Linked DNA regions of Oreochromis niloticus. The protein of the gene in region 1 purifies or fractionates together with the protein of each later gene. This does not show direct contact. Links are inferred from orthologs where the notes say so. Each region holds a gene or a part of one and is shown in the gene's direction. Other genes may lie near its edges.

The links. The genes of interacting proteins can lie anywhere in the genome.
Region 2: the proteins of stk38a (region 1) and mob2a purify together in Homo sapiens (affinity purification with mass spectrometry; 7 studies listed by BioGRID and IntAct, with this or other methods). This does not show direct contact. The link is inferred for Oreochromis niloticus from reciprocal best matches to the Homo sapiens genes STK38 and MOB2.

Annotation. Positions count from the first base shown.
Region 1 is NC_031984.2:35,168,813-35,176,655, reverse strand, and holds the start of stk38a (serine/threonine-protein kinase 38), read left to right. Parts: upstream 1-4,743; 5' UTR 4,744-4,891; intron 4,892-4,923; exon of another isoform or gene 4,924-4,992; intron 4,993-7,843. UniProt on the Homo sapiens protein: Serine/threonine-protein kinase that acts as a negative regulator of MAP3K1/2 signaling. Converts MAP3K2 from its phosphorylated form to its non-phosphorylated form and inhibits autophosphorylation of MAP3K2.
Region 2 is NC_031972.2:60,147,055-60,154,992, forward strand, and holds the start of mob2a (MOB kinase activator 2a), read left to right. Parts: upstream 1-4,898; 5' UTR 4,899-5,022; coding exon 5,023-5,138; intron 5,139-7,938. UniProt on the Homo sapiens protein: Stimulates the autophosphorylation and kinase activity of STK38 and STK38L.

The DNA of each region.
Region 1 (7,843 bases):
AGCATGGTTGACCTGTGTCAGTTGTCACATTGCTTGTTATTGCCACATAGAGAGTACTGTGTAATTCTGTGATATCACATATTTGACCTGACAGTCTGTCTGGTAGAAACAAGAGTAGGGGAAGAAAATTGAATCTTAAACTCAAGAGATAACAAAGGCTACCAAAATAAAACAGGAAATAACCAAAACACGAGAACAGCTCAAACAGAGACGCAGGAGACACAAGGCGGGCAAGATAAACTGAAAGGAGGACTACGATACTCAAACTAAAACCAGGAATGGACACCAGAGACCTGTGCTACACAGAAGGATTCTGGATTATCCAAGTAACTGGAGGGTTTTCAGCTGTGAACGTGATTCAGCTCTTATTGGGTTAAATTGTCAGGGTAATCGTTGTAGGGCAGGTTAGGTTCCAGATTAGAGATCAGTAGGTATGAAACCACCTACTGACCAATCAGTTTTCCATAAATCACTATTCCCGGGAGATTCCTCGGACCTCTGCGGGAAGAGTAAGATGGTTTTCAGTAGCATCTAAAGTCTTTGTGTTTTCCTGTTGAGCAATAAAAGTTAAATGCAACCTTTTCCTTGATTTTTTTTCTGTTGGCAGCAAGCACTTTTGCAACAATGGTGTTGTTGCGATCCTAAAACAGGACACCAGGGCAGCTCTAGGATCAAACCTTTAGGTGGGCTCAGCCCCCATTGAAAATCTCATGCATACTGTGCCTTGTAATTAATATTAACGGTAGTAGTAATAATGTAGCCTTTTTACATTCCAAATTTAAATTCGGGGGTCTAACCATTTAATTTTAAATGGTAAATGGACTGATTCTTATATAGTGCTTTTCTATTCTCCCGGAGTAAAAAAAGCACCAGTTATACAGCACCAGTTTGTGTCACACACAACACCTCTGTGTGAGTATGACAGTATGATACCAACAACACTGGACCGCTAAACCTGTTTTCATTCTATCCTGTAGGTGAACACAAAGCCAGAAATTAATACTATACATTACTCTTACTACTGATAGTTATTTTTAGGTGTGCTGTGATGACATTTGGGGGCACTTCAGCACCCAAAGAAGGGTCTAAACTGGCCTATGCAGGACACCGACACTGTGGGGTAGAGTTGGGTTGGATGCCACATTGCTACATTGTTGCTGCCACATTAGAGGACACTGTTGACCTGACAGTCTGTCTGTGTTTTGGAGTGGTCAGTTTGTGGAAAATACAAAAGTTTGAGGAGAGGAAGTACTTTGTACTTTTTATGGACCAGGGTCATTTTTCATGTTGTTGTTTTTATATTAAAAGATAATACAATATTAGTAGATTTTTTTTTAAAGGAGAGTTATTAAAAGCTAAAGCCATGTGTTAGCTAGGTTCAAATGTTTATCAAGAGGGCATGGAAAGGCAGTGGGTTTTTGTTTCTTTATGTCTTGGCACAATAGTTTGTGTTGAAGCATAAACTGATCTCACAGAGATTGTACTCCTCTGACTTGTGTGACTTTGAGTGAGTTATAGAGTTACTGGATCAAGACTAGCAACCTTTAAATAGAGACCATAAGACGTTCCTTTCCTGGATGATTGAGCATCACGATTTAATATGGAGAGCAGTTCAGTTTAATATTAATGTTGTTCATCTTTATTCTCAATCTTGCAAAAAAGACGTAGGCAAATTCCATGGCTGTCCTTTGTAATGATATCAATGACACATCAGTTAGAAATACAAAAATTACAGCCATGGAATTTGGAATCTGTCCACAGTTGGGTTGTTTTGGCTTTAACAATAGCTACAGGATTATAGTACTGTAAATTCATTCCTTTCACTGCTCGTATGTAAAATATTTCATAGTATTTATCACTGCTTCAAATTCATGGGGGCATTAGGTGGTGTTCATTTTTAAACTTACTGACATCTCTATCTGAAAAAACATACATAAATAATTTTTTTAATGGTCAAAAGCTATACAAGACCCCAATTTTTCCAGATTTTTTTGGAAAATTATGAAGTTTGATGTCTCATTGCACTCTGAAATGAAAGAATAGTAAAAATAAGCAATTGGAGTTGTCCTGTGAGCCACCGATCACACAAGCTGTTAACTCTCAGAAACTTGTCCTCTGATTGTGTCTTTGGGTCTGCAGACCTCTTCTTGTCACAGTTTGTTTCTGAGCCTTTGGATGGTGAAGGAAACTGTAGTCTCTGACACCTTACAGTACAACACTGTTCAACTGATGCTGACGAGGGTTTGGTACCACAGTGTGTTCCAACACTGCTTTTATGCAGACAGAGGAGGTTGGACGTAATCCAGAAATGTTGGAACAGCAGTAGGAATTAGTAGCAGCAGCTTTCAAGGCTTGATCAATCTCCATTGTTGCAGAACAGATTAAATTGTTAACCCATGTTGTATCATTCTGAAATGTACGTTATTTTTCAGTTTTAGGTAACCTTGCCTTTTTTTAACCTCTGGCAGTTCACCACTTTTGTACCATATAAAGCTGTTCATTGGACTTGAACGACTTGAACTGCAATAAATAAGTGGAAAAACTGGGGTGTTCTAAAATTTTTGACCCTTACTATGTGTTTACGTGTGTATCCTTTCAAAAAATTATATTTTACTAAAACCCCATTATTATCTATGTAGGGGAAACATACCCATACAATGTATCAGACTGTTGTTGATGGTAATGGCTTTTAGTTCCAAGTAAATGCAAAAATGAAAACATTTCCCATTTGGAGGCAGCACCTTAAGCTCTGATTTAATAGAGAAATGTTTATTGAAAGGCGTATCAATTATCAGCAATTCATGCGTAGAAAGTGTAACAAGCCGTCTACCCTACCCTATGAATCTTTAATGATCCATTTACACTTGTGTGAAACTTTTCCCAGCATTACCAGCAATACATTATCCCAGGGCAGGACTGGGACAAAAAATCGGCCCGGGCATTTTGACTAGAGACCGGCCCACCAGGTATTATAGGAAAAGCCATAAAGCCTTTGAATGAAAACAAACGCTGTTGTGACAGTGATGTACCCTGTCTTTTGGTATATTTATGATTTCTATACATTTTACATCAGATGAAAACTTTGGTTTTAAGATTCAGATAATTATTTTTTTAAAAGCGAGACATTTTAAATGAGAGTAAGAAAGAAAAGTATTTCTTTGTGCCCCCCTTTCCCTGTTAATGCCCTACCTGGCCCCCTGGCAAAACTTTGCTAGACCCGCCCCTGCACAGTTACCAGCTGTCAGCTACATAGAAAAGCATCCTGGTGTTATTTGTCTCTCAGAAACAGTTCATAACTTCCCTTCAACTCATCCATGTCACCTAAAAGGTAAACCTGTTTCTCCATCACCTGTTCAGCTCTGATGATTCAGTAAGGACATCTCCTGGTTTCATCTGCATGTTTCCCTCTCACCACATATCCAAACCGACATCATGACCAGCAGCTTTACAGCTGTGGCTCCAGCAAACATCAGCTGACACTAGAAATTAATATTAAATAAATTCTAACAACAGCTGATCAAGCTTAAAGGTGCTGCTGTTGTTTAACGCGACATCCGCTGGTTTCCTCTTTCTGGCGCAAAGTGGGCGATAAACAAACAAGACAGAAAAGCCGATCAGCTGATCATTGATCAGTTTCATGATTGAAGTAGAAACAGGAGAGGGAGGGGGAGAGAATGAGAGAAGAAGAGGCAGCTGTGCAGCGTAAAGACAGAATAACTCCAGCTTTGTGTCTTTTCCATTCTAGCTGAAGTCCGGGACAAACTGTGTTCCTTTTCACCTCAATACGAAACGCGTAATATTTTCTCTGAATACCAGACGATTCTGTTTTTTACTGGACGGTTGGCAACTTTACTAACTAACCTCATGAATAAAATAAAGTTCACTATCAGTAACATCACAGCACCCACCCAGCTGTTTAGAAACTCCATCATGCTAGCTAGCACGCAGTACAAGTTATTGTAACTGACTGTAAAAAGTCAGTACAATGAAAATAAACTCCACCTAAACTTGGTTTATATCTGACCCGGATAGACTGCAGGTCATAACTTCTTACCTGAAGTTTAGTTCACCTGACACTCGGACCGGTGGCCGCCTCGGGTCTCTCCTCCTCCTGCCTACCCTTTCCCTCATCCACCTGCTGGCCTTTATGGTAGCTCCGCCATAGCCACCACCAAACAACTCAGTTATTTTTACACCAGCATTTGGCCAATCCACCACCTTTCATTGTTTATACCGTTACAAAAACAAAACAAAACAAAACAAAAAACCCATCGGCCCATAAAAACGAAAAATCACTATTGGCCCACTGGGCAAATGCCCGGTATGCCCGATGGCCAGTCCAGCTATGCATTATCCTAAAATTGGATCCTAAAGAGAAAACAGGGTGTGTTTAACTACCGGACAGAGCAAAAATAAATATTATTGCGAAACTTGAGGCAACTCATTTCTCTTTATGCAGAGAATAGCCTATATTTTATAGCTGTAACTTTATTGTTTGCTGAGTTTAAAGCTTTCTTGATTTCCTTTGAATGTGTATTATTATTTTAATATTCCTTTAAAACTATTATATTCTAAAAAGAGCTTTGTTACTGCTGTCAAATAATGTTGCTTTCTTACAGTACAGTGCATATTTGTTGTTAGCAGTAACGCCGTTGAGCTGTTTCTCGGTCGTCTTATGAAAATCAAATTATTAACATGTTGCCACATGTTTGAGTGAACGCTCAGTGTCATGTATGTGACGCGCAGTGGAGAAATCAACCGTCTTTCCTGTGCTGGCTCACGGAGGAGGGCATGATGCGCCGCTAGGTGTCCGCTGAGTTCAAACTGCTGGTGACGCAACGCTCATCGCAAAGCAGAGCAAGAGGCGACAGACACCGCACCTTCGACCAAGGTAAGCGAACAAAGAGTAACTCTAAAACGTGGAATTAAACGACGACAAGTCGCTGTGGTAGCTGCTTTCTTCTTTTCGCTGCCTTGTGAAACAAGTAACGCGTATGTGTTTTTGTTCCTTATTGTACTTGTAACAAACGACTAGGGCGCTTTGAGCAGATAAGTAGCTAACGTTAACTAGCTAACTTTCACTTAGCTGTTTGCTTTGGAGAACTTCAAGTCAAGTTGTAAAGCAGTGGGTACGAAGGCCGGTGTTTTCTGGTCAAGGCTTTAAAAAATAAAGACGCGTACGTTCAAAGCTGAGGCGAAACATTTCCTCGAAAAAAGGCCGTTTTATTTTGAAGGAAGTATTGGGTATCGCTTATGTTTTCCCTCGCTGGCTTTACGCTGGCAGGAACTTTAATAGCAAACTAGCTAGCTAACTAATGATAGCAAGTTAGTGTAGTAGAGTGAGATTAATGAAACTTTGTAAATTTAAAGTTCTAAACTTCAAGAGAACTGAGGAAGGATTGTGAGTGTTGGCTTAAGTTATCCTCTATCCGTAATTCTTGACTCTTTCGGCACTGCGTGCATCCGGAACTACGTGTTGTTGGCTCCTGTCGGGTTTCAATGCTATTTCTTGACCGTCGCGTTTTATTTATTTCCTCTTTTAATGTACTTATTTATCTGAGATCATAAAACTTTGAGCAGATGCAACTTGCGGAAAAAGGCAGAGGGTGTGGGCTTCAGTGAAACGTCCTAAACGTCTGACAAAACATGAAATGGGCTTTTCCTCTGTTTTTACCTCTTTTTTTTTCTCTCTAATTGTGTCACGTGTTGAATATTTAAACCATAGAATTTGTTTACTACACATAAAAACTAATTTACTCTCCCACACACCAAATATAACTAAAGTTACTAATGTTAGCTGTACAGGCTGCAGGGAAGCATGCTATTATGAGTCTACCATTATAAACTTAGTGAGATAATTCTTGGGGTTCTTTGGGATTAGTGGTGGTTTGGAGGTTGGAGATATCTGTGTGCTGATTTCCCACAGTGGAAGCCTGTGTGCTTTCCTAAACAAATTGTTAAACAGTCCGATGTGTAAGTTCCTTCTTTATACATGTTTGAATCCTTTGTCAAAAAGTATGTAACAATATAGTGTACAATTCATCGAGTAATTCGATTATAAAAGGTTTTGCTGCGCCACTCTGTAGCATGAGTGCTTCACCCACATGTGCGACTAAAAACAGACCAGCAACAGAAACGTACTTAGGGGCAGCGTGTGAATAAAAAGTATAACAACATTAAGCCCACACAGCCCCCAGTTATAAACAAAAAGACTGATAACACAGCAGCTGAAGTGAATAGGATGTTGTCACATGGAGCGTGCACACCATTAAGAGCAAAGAGGCTGAGCTGTTACTGAGACGCTGAGTGAGAAACATGTTTCCAGCAGCACTGGTCCTGTAATCACCAGGGATGGGGAAGAATTGAGCAGTTTCTTCTCCATTATAGATATCACTTATCAATTCTCATTGGCTCCACTTTGAGTCACCACCATGTCTAAGCAGCATATCAAAGACATCGTATTCATGCAAATTAATTACGTTTGTGCATGTTGGAGGTGTTCCCCTCTTTGTTGTGATCAGTGTTCCAGTCATTACTGAAATAAGTAATTAATGCACATATTACACAGAATACTTTCCTTGAAGGTAATGCAGTACGTTACTTAATTACACCTAGGATTCGTTACGTTACTTTCATGTTGAATGATGTGAAACACTGTCTGATAATTACCAATTAATAATATAAACCTGAGGCTACACCCCCACACACCAACACAAATCCCTGTCCTAATGAGGACACACCTGAGCTTTCTCTGAGCATTTAGGTATGAAAACAGAGCTGATGACACAAATCAAATATAAGACACTTTAAAGTGATCACCACAGAGATTCTACTGTAGGAACGTGAACAGGTAGAACAGAAGCTGCAGCCTGGCTGTTCATCAGTTTGTTACCTGTTGATGTTCAGCTGTGGCTCACTTTATCATGGTGCTGGTCTGGGGTCAGCATTTACTCAGCTTTAACATCACTCTGGGCTCTTGGCTAGCTTAGCGTTAGCATGCTTGCTGTGCAGGTGCTTTCAAAGAGCCAAAGTTGTGTTAACAGTATGAGGCAGTTGTTTCTGTCCTCCACTTTACCATTGCGCTCTCATCCTTTTGTGCAATAAAGCTAATGTCCATATCCAAACTGAAATCAGCTGATCGTAGTGAGAGTGCAAGAATTGACAGGCAGGCAGAATAATGATTCGATATATTATTGTGTCCTGAATGTTAGGCAGCTATCTGCCACCAGATGGCACATTGTTGTTGAGAAACACCATGAATCTGTAAATCTAGGCGTAATCTTTTTGTTAACAATATTAGAATTAAATTGCGGATACAAATTGGCTTTGTCCGAAAGGTGGTTGAGCTCTCCCTTAGATAAAGAATTCAGTCATTTGGGAGCTGCTACTCCTCCACATTGAAAGGACACAGCTAAAGCTGTCGCCTCCTCGGTAAAGTATTTAGACCAAGCATGTCCTACTTGGAGGAGGCCGCAGCGTAGACCTGGGACACACTGGGAAGCTTATATCGATTGGCTGGCCTGGGAACGCCTCGATGTTTCTCCCGATAAGTTGAAGGAGGTAGCAGAGGGAGATTTGGGCTTCCCTGCTGCAGGCCCTGCAACCCGACGTCAGATAGGCGGATGATTTATTATTTTAGATTTCAGCTTTTAATTCAGTGGCTGTCATGAACATTCAAACAGTGTGCACAGCACTAAGCACCACACGTCACAGTTTATTCGTTTTTCAGACGTCATATTTTAGTAATGCGTGAACGCGTTCATGTTTTCATGTCATGTTAAACGTCGATTTGTTTTGATTGTTTTTCTTCTGCGTTGTCTGTCTGCAGTAAATGTGCAGTGTT
Region 2 (7,938 bases), on another chromosome or scaffold:
CCTAAGGAATGCAGGGAGGAGGAGTGCAGCGGGCAGCCAGGGCATGCTGTGACAACCTCCCACATGATCTAAACTCTTTCACTCTTTGCTTCTTCTCCTTGCTTTTAACTGTTATTCACACTTTTTCTCTTCTGTTTTTCCCCTTACGTCATTCTCTGCGGCTCAACCCTCTCACTTTATCACTCTCACTAATCTTAACTACTCGCTCATTCTCATTTCCTAGTCCTTTTATCCCCCCATATTTCATCCATTTCTCTCAGTTTCATTCTCAGTCATTTCTCACTGACATAATCCACGCAGCATCCATGGTGTTGGTGATTTATAAGCATTTGGATACGAGTCTGGAATTTCTCATCTCATGTCTGCTTCTTGCTAAAGTCCTGTCTTCCTTTAGCTTTAAACAAGAAAAAACACGTCCTCCTGTCTATTACACACAGTCTCTACTTTGCAAACTTTTTCATATTGAAATCAACTCAGTGCCAAAGGTTTGCAGCAAAATGTCTGAACTCCAGAGTAAGCTGACTTGTAACTCGCTTAAAGATGCAGCAGCAATTGATCAGACAGGTATAGTTCTTTGATGCCATTGCTGTTTTTAAATAGAGCATGAAGTTGGAACTCTGTTATGTTTGTTCATGAAGTGCTCACATATACCTCCCAAACAAGAATGTCCAAGTGAATTGTGAGCCAGAATGTAATGCTCTTGATCTCCTTGAGTTACTTTAAGACTGAACTGTTCTCTTTGTTTAACAAAGCTGTGTGTGCAGAAAGCAATGACATGTCTTTGCTTGTAGCCCTTCCCCTGCAGGAATGTAGAGCCAAGAAGAGATGAAGCAAAGGGCAGAAGAAAGCATATGTGCAAAGATTCAATGGCATAAAGGTTGAAGGGAGAACATGGTGGGCAAAGACTAGTTAGTCTTTCCTTCTGTAAGGGGCATGCTAAATTAATGTGAATGTTTTAATGCCATGTGCTTCATATGAATAGTGAGTTGAGACTGGTGTTAAAAGCACAGCTGCTTATTGCACTCTTTATAAGCCCAAAATTGTCTGTACAAAGTATGTGTAAGCACTTTCTAGCTGATCGTAGTCATTGAAGCTGCCTTTTTTGGTGGAGGTTTTGCATTTGCACAGACATACAGACCATACGTGCCCATTTATCTCCACAATTTTGCAGAAGGGAGAAAATTACAGATGTTGCTGCTTTTTTTTTTTTTTTTTTTTTTTTTTTTTTTGGATCAGATTTTTTCTTATTTTTGGTTGGTAGGGGGCCTGGTAGCAGATGCTATATTTTTATTAAACAGATTTTGCTTCTGCAGTTATGTACTGCAGGCCAGGTCGCTGGGTTCATGGTCCAAAGTGTCTCCCTGGCCCTGCTGACCTTTATCCGTGCCTATAGAAAACCCCCAGGCTCTAAAGACCTTCGGTCTGTGCTGTTGTTACTGCTTAAGACCTTACCTAAACACAGTGCACACTCCCACACGCCCAGAATGCAACACCAACAGGTCATATACAGCAACTTGGAACTACTCTGTTTCCGATTCATTTATTTTGGGTTTTAACACGGTTGGGTGCCTGACCTGTCTGTCATTTTGTCCCCAGCGATGATTGGCTGGAGAGTCACTGTGGCCAGACCAGGACTGGTCTGTTGCCAGGCCCCAAGGCGCATCTGCTACGGTCGTGACTCATGTAGCTCTGGCCTGGAATCAGTGTTTTCTTTGTCTTAAATACGTGGAATTTGTCCACTGACTTTTAGACTCAACCTGTTGAGCCAGCTCCAGAGATCACTGTTCACAAACATGTTTTATCCAGAATCTTCTATTCCACTTTATCATTTTAGTGATAATAAAAACTTTCAGCAGATTTTAACACATAAATTTGAATTCACTCGACGCCTTTTGCGCTGTTTTGCTTATGACGTCAGTGCTGTGGTGAATGAATATCTTACATTTCTTACAGTGCTTATTTTTCTTGTCTTATCTGTTGGTCTGATCAGTTCTGACTATAATTATCATGCTTAATGTTGTTTTGGGTTTTTTTACGGACATCAGATTAGGGCTTTACTCATCTGTCAGTATCAGTGATGTCAGTGTTTCCATAAATTGCCTCCATTTATTCTTTTTTTTTTTTTCTTTTCTTTTCACAAGCGTCCTGTTTTGTAATTAAATCCAATCCTTTGGCATCTCTTAATTAGGGTGGTCATTTTTGATTAGTTTAACATCCTTCAAGCAGCTTCCAGGTACTGATAAAAGTCAGTCTTTCTGTGGTTTTGCTTGTTAAACTAATCTACAAATTGTTGTTGCTGTGGATTTTACATCTGTAACCTTTTTTATAGTGGAAAAAAGTTCCTACACTTTCTCAAGAAGTACGCCTTACCCACAAACAAATGGATGTGTGTTCAGAGAATGGAAATTTGATCCTGTATCTGCATTACTGGCAGGTCATTACCGGACTTGGCCTTTTCTATCCAACCTTTCCTGTGTTATTAGTAATTTACAGCAATATCTGTTTTGTTGAAAGCAGGTAGCCTTGTCTGCGTATTTGAGGGGGAGGAGATTGTGATGCCAGCAGGGAGGGAAGAGTAAACCTCTGTGTGAGAGACAAAGGAATGTGGCAGTTGGTTTCCATTCACGTCAGACGTTGCATAAGAGAGGTCTGACTTGTACATCATCAGAATCCACATGGTCACACAGCGCTGCAGACTGCAGTCGTGATCACCTACTGCTCATTTAGTAAAAGAAAGGTCTAGTTTAGGTTAAGAGATGCCGCCTCATCTAATTTTCATGCCCAATTCACTAAAACGTTTTGTTCCCACAAGTGATTGTCGAGGCCAAGCGCTAGTGATCCTGAATGGATGTTTTCTATTTTCAGCAACCACTTGGGTCCAATAGTTAGAAGCAAATTAGTGGAAAGTTCCTCAAGCATGGGATTTCCATTATAGCGACACACTGTTTTCTCGTGATTACATGTAACACTTTTAACAGCAATATCACACTGTGATAGACCACATAGAAATGTGATTTTAGTGTTTATGATGTCCTGTAATGCGTTATTATAAAATTCCTTTTATGTTATTTTTCATCATTAAAATGACACCAAAAAGGATTGAAACTATTAGCAGTTTGAAGAACTTCCCAAAATGACAGTAAACACAAGCAGAAAATGACCAAGAATTGATGCAAATTTGCTGTACATTTTGGAATATTTAGAACTTTTTTTTTTTATGTTGCTGAGACCTGTAGACTTTTGATAATGACATATATATATATATATATATATATATATATATATATATATATATATATATATATATATATATATATATATATATATATATATATATATATAGCCCTCAAAACAAACTACTCCCACGTCTGATTATATATCCCCTTCTTACCTCTTGCTTACACAGTGACTGGTTAAGCTGCACACTTATTTGTTCCTGCTTACACACACACTAAGCCAGACACCCATGGCACCCCCCCCCCCCCCCCCCCCCCCCCCCTTTTTTTTATCAGTTTCTGTAGTCTTTATGATGAGGCAGGCTGATACTATAATTAGCATCTTAAGAACAGAGTCTGTGCCCTGTTCTGGTCTCTCTCTCGCTGTCTCTCTCCCCTCTTCCCCAGACTCCTCACAGCTGGTATCGGAGCCAGAGTGACTCAGTGTGCACCCGTAATGTGGTATGCAGGATGTGGGTGCAGAAAGGTGCCTATCTGACTCGCTGTCTCTTAGATTTTTTTTTTTTTTTAATCCATATAAGGGTTAACCATAAACAAGTACTACATATTCCTTACACACTCTGACAGTCTCTTCATCTTGCTCTTAAAACTGCATTCCCCGACTCAAGGCATGCACATAGCGCTACACAATCCCATAGATTTGTGTCCATGCATGAATCCATACTATAGCCAGGCAGGCACACTAAGTTTTGTTTGAGAAGATGGAGGAAAAACAGACAGTAAAGGAGTGAGGCAGTGAAACGCGCAGAGAGAGAATAAGAGGGCTCATCTGTTGTAAGGCAGTAATTAGAGGGAAGAACAGCGAGGGAATGATAACTTAGTAACACTAGTTGTAATCTTCTCATGAATGGAACATCTTCCACTTGTCTGTGTTCATTTACACTAGCACATTTTGTACTTAAGTGTTGTCGCTTCAGCTCTTTACTGATAATTTAATTAGAATTTATATCATACCTGTGCTTTTAAAAAAAATATCTCAAATGAGAAATGCAAAGAAACCTCCAGATGTTTTTTACAGATCTGCCTTTGGCTTTTAAGCAGGCTTTGTTTGATTGGCTCACTGGTTCTTCAGCTTTTACAGCATGTCTGAACTCGCCTGACTGCTGCCAGCCTATCATAAATGAACTCAAGTGAAGTTCAGAGTGAACAGAAGGAATGTTGCTCAGCATGCAAGACAATTAAAGTGAAGGAAGGTTTTAATGATTATTCTAACACAGGAATAAACGATTTTTACTTACACTTGCAAGGCTTTTCATCCACAATTTTCATTTTCGGCAGATGAGTTTGAGCATTATTTAAAATGCCTGTATTGGTTTTAGTTATATTTGCACCGACTTATTTTGTGAAAGTTAACAACTTTAAGAATGCATATGCAGTTTCACTGTTGTAAACCCAGAAACGGTCATGCTTGTGTAAATCCGTTGTATTAGAGCAGGTATATAAAGTCTAGCGACACCTTTTTATTGTGTTGTAGTCGTTTACCTGCGGACCACCTGTTGCTACATCGTAACTGCAATTCTGGGGAAAGGCTGAACCACGTCCACATGGGCAGACACTGACGTCACAACACCCCACCCCCTTTACACTTTTCTTCCCCTCTGTGATTGGACGAGGGCGACAGAGGAGGAGCGCCTTTCTGTAAAATGTGCTCACAAAGTTGTTTTTTTTTCTCTACCCTACAGTGAGTCACAGCTTCTCATAAGTCCCAGCGTAGTGTTTTTACAGGCAGACTACAGCTTAACAGTATTAAGGAGAGACTCTGACATCTGTCTTCATGTTTTAAGCTATGGTCAGAGACTCTTACTCCTTTTCTGGAGATAAGAAGGTCATGCACCCTCAGAGAAACTCTAAAACCGGACTAAGTTGCAAAATGGTGCTCCAGGCAGTCGGAAAAGTACTAAGGTAAAACTTACAATACTTTCGAATTAAAATATATTTGCTATTAACTTGAGTTTCTACCCTGTGTTGTTGCTTTTAATGAAGCGTGCAGTAGGTTGTTTTAGTGTTGGAAAGCTGCTTTTATCGAAGACGCAAAAACCCGCGTTGCCTTTGCGTGTTGATTTCACCGCCTTCTGATTACAGCAGCGATAACAGTCAAATATTTGTTTTGTTTTTGTATCTAAAACTAGAAAGTCTCTAGCCTGTGGTTAAATCAAGATAAACTTGCTGCCTCTTGTCTGCAGTAATTACACAAGTATTAGGCTCCTGTGATTCTGGGGTCAGTGCAAATTATCAGGATCACCTGAAAACTACTAATTCCTTTCGCTGCAGCTCTTAGCAAAACTCAACAAGAGCAGGAGAAATGTGACACTGTCTTCTCATCCAGTCTAATAAAATATTAAAGACGCCTGTAGTATTTTAACATAGTTAATTGTGTTAGTCACAGAAAATGATTACCCCCCTCCTTTTTTTCCCTTAAAGTAAAAATGATTAAAAGGTCAATTATTTGCCAAGGTGATGTGTAATTAGCCTTTTAGTTTATAAAAAAGAATTTTACTGCTATCTACTGGTCATGATATGAAGGCTCAGACTTAATACCTGAGGAATGCCTGACCCCAATATAAGGGTTAACTGTGTGTTTGTGTGTCATACAACGTGATAGAGCTACGCCAGTTATACAGAACAAATTCGTGTCCCCCCTCTTAGTGTCAGAGACCCACAGTCATTATGACTGTGTTCCTCCAGGGGACAGACAGTCATGTTAATGCTGTGATGAAGGTTCCTGTTACTTTTCAAGTCTTCGGCCAGGTGTGTTTCTTTTCAAGCAGCAGCCCAAAGGGCACATGCCTCACATCCTGTGGTGTTTTATGAAGATGTGGAGAGGGATGGTGAGGGGACTCTCCACTATTGTAGGTTCGCTTAATATATTCTAGGCTGCATATTAAGAGCAGCAGCAGAAAGTGTTGTTGTACAGTATGTTGTCTTCTGCAAGATCTGTGGCAAGTAGAAACAAGTTTTTCTGCTCCTTCTTTCTTGCGAATTCAACCCCTGTGCTCAAGAAATTAGCTGATCACCAAGAAACTACAGCCTTAATGTATTTGCCTCAGGGGTGATTGCGGGGAGGGCGAGTGGTTCCAGAAATCTTGAGTAAAAACTAAATAAAATTACCCTGTTCGGGTTAACAAAGACACATAGTTTGGATTACATAAGGTGGGTGGCACCTTAGAGCTTGTTATAGCTTTTGTTTTAACCTATTTCCTCCTTCAGTCAGTGATTCAATGCCCTTGACTTAGACGCTGGTATGAATAGAGGTTAGACAAAAGATGGCTTTTAGCTATTTTGCCTTACCTGTTCTTGTCTTTTTACAAGTAGATCGATCAGGGTGTAGAGAAATTTGCTTTATTTCAGTATTTTGCTTCCTGTTGTGTTAAATCAATTCAAGATTACACTCCCAAGTGGTTAAGTCCCAAACCCTATTCCTGTTACATGTTTGTTGTTATGATGATGAGGCTCGAATGTGGTGCTCACAGGGGTTTCTTGCATATTGTGCTAGACTGAGAGCCAGTAACTGGGATGTTTGATAGGATAACATGTAGAAGAAGAGGTAGCTAGGACAGGGCCAGTAGAGAGTGTGTGTGTGTGTGTGTGTGTGTGTGTGTGTACATTTACATATGTTTAGGTCTGCACTCTGGCTCCAGTTCTCATTTACTAATTTGCGTGGCTGCTTTCTCCCCCAGTAAAGGCGTTGATTAAGTGGTGACAGCTGCACTGTTGTAGTTTTTGTTTTCTTGTCCAAAAACTAAAATTGGCAAAATATTCAAACTATACTTAACTCTGAATAAGGCAATACTTTTCTGACTTACCAAGGCTGAACGTCAGGTTTAGTCGATGCTTAAGTCAGTCTCTTTTTTTAAGCTCTGTAATGGCTGCTGTGGTGGAGCTTTGGTGCGCTCAGACTGCTTGCTTTTTTCCCCTCTTTGTGGTTTTTCAGGGCAGGGTGCCATTGGGTCTATTTAATTTAAGTCCTGAAATAGATCAGCAGACTTGGAGAAAGCTGCTTATTTAACAAAATAGCAGAGTTCATTCACTCCATCCTGGTCTTATCATGAAATTTCAGTATTATCCCGGGTTTTATCACACTTGTTTGGTTTTTTTTCTTCCTTTTTTTAAACTTGACTAGCATAATAATAGGCTTAGAAATGAGACTGTCACGTGTTTTTTGAGGTCTGGGCATGTTTTATTTCCTCGCAATATGACCTTCAGTGGATGCCAGTGCTTTTTTGGGGGGGGGGGGGGTTCTAAGAAGAGAACAGAGAGTTGCTTTATATTTATACATTTTTGTTTATTGTGCCAGTGCATTTGATTTTTTTTTATTAGTCAAATCAAAGCTCTTGATATAGAAAGCAGCTGTCTAAAAGAAAATGGTAAAAAGAATTTGTCAGTGTCACCCGACCAGATTGCATTAAATGCGTCCATATGCCATTCGTTGGATACCCCTGTTATCGAAAAAGCCAATTCAAGCAACAGTTGTGTAATATGTTGCTTGCTGGGAGCCAGAGGCTCAAGAGGAACATGGGTTTTGTTGAACAGGTTTTCTTTGTTTGTGTTCAGCTCACAGAAAAACCAGTAAAAACTGAAAATGTTGGGGTTTTTTTTTTTTTTGTTTGTTTGTTTTTCCAAGCATTAATGTCAGTGATTTGGTGATATGGGGTGATTTAATAATTTGGTGATATGGAGATGATTAACTATGGAAACAAGAAGT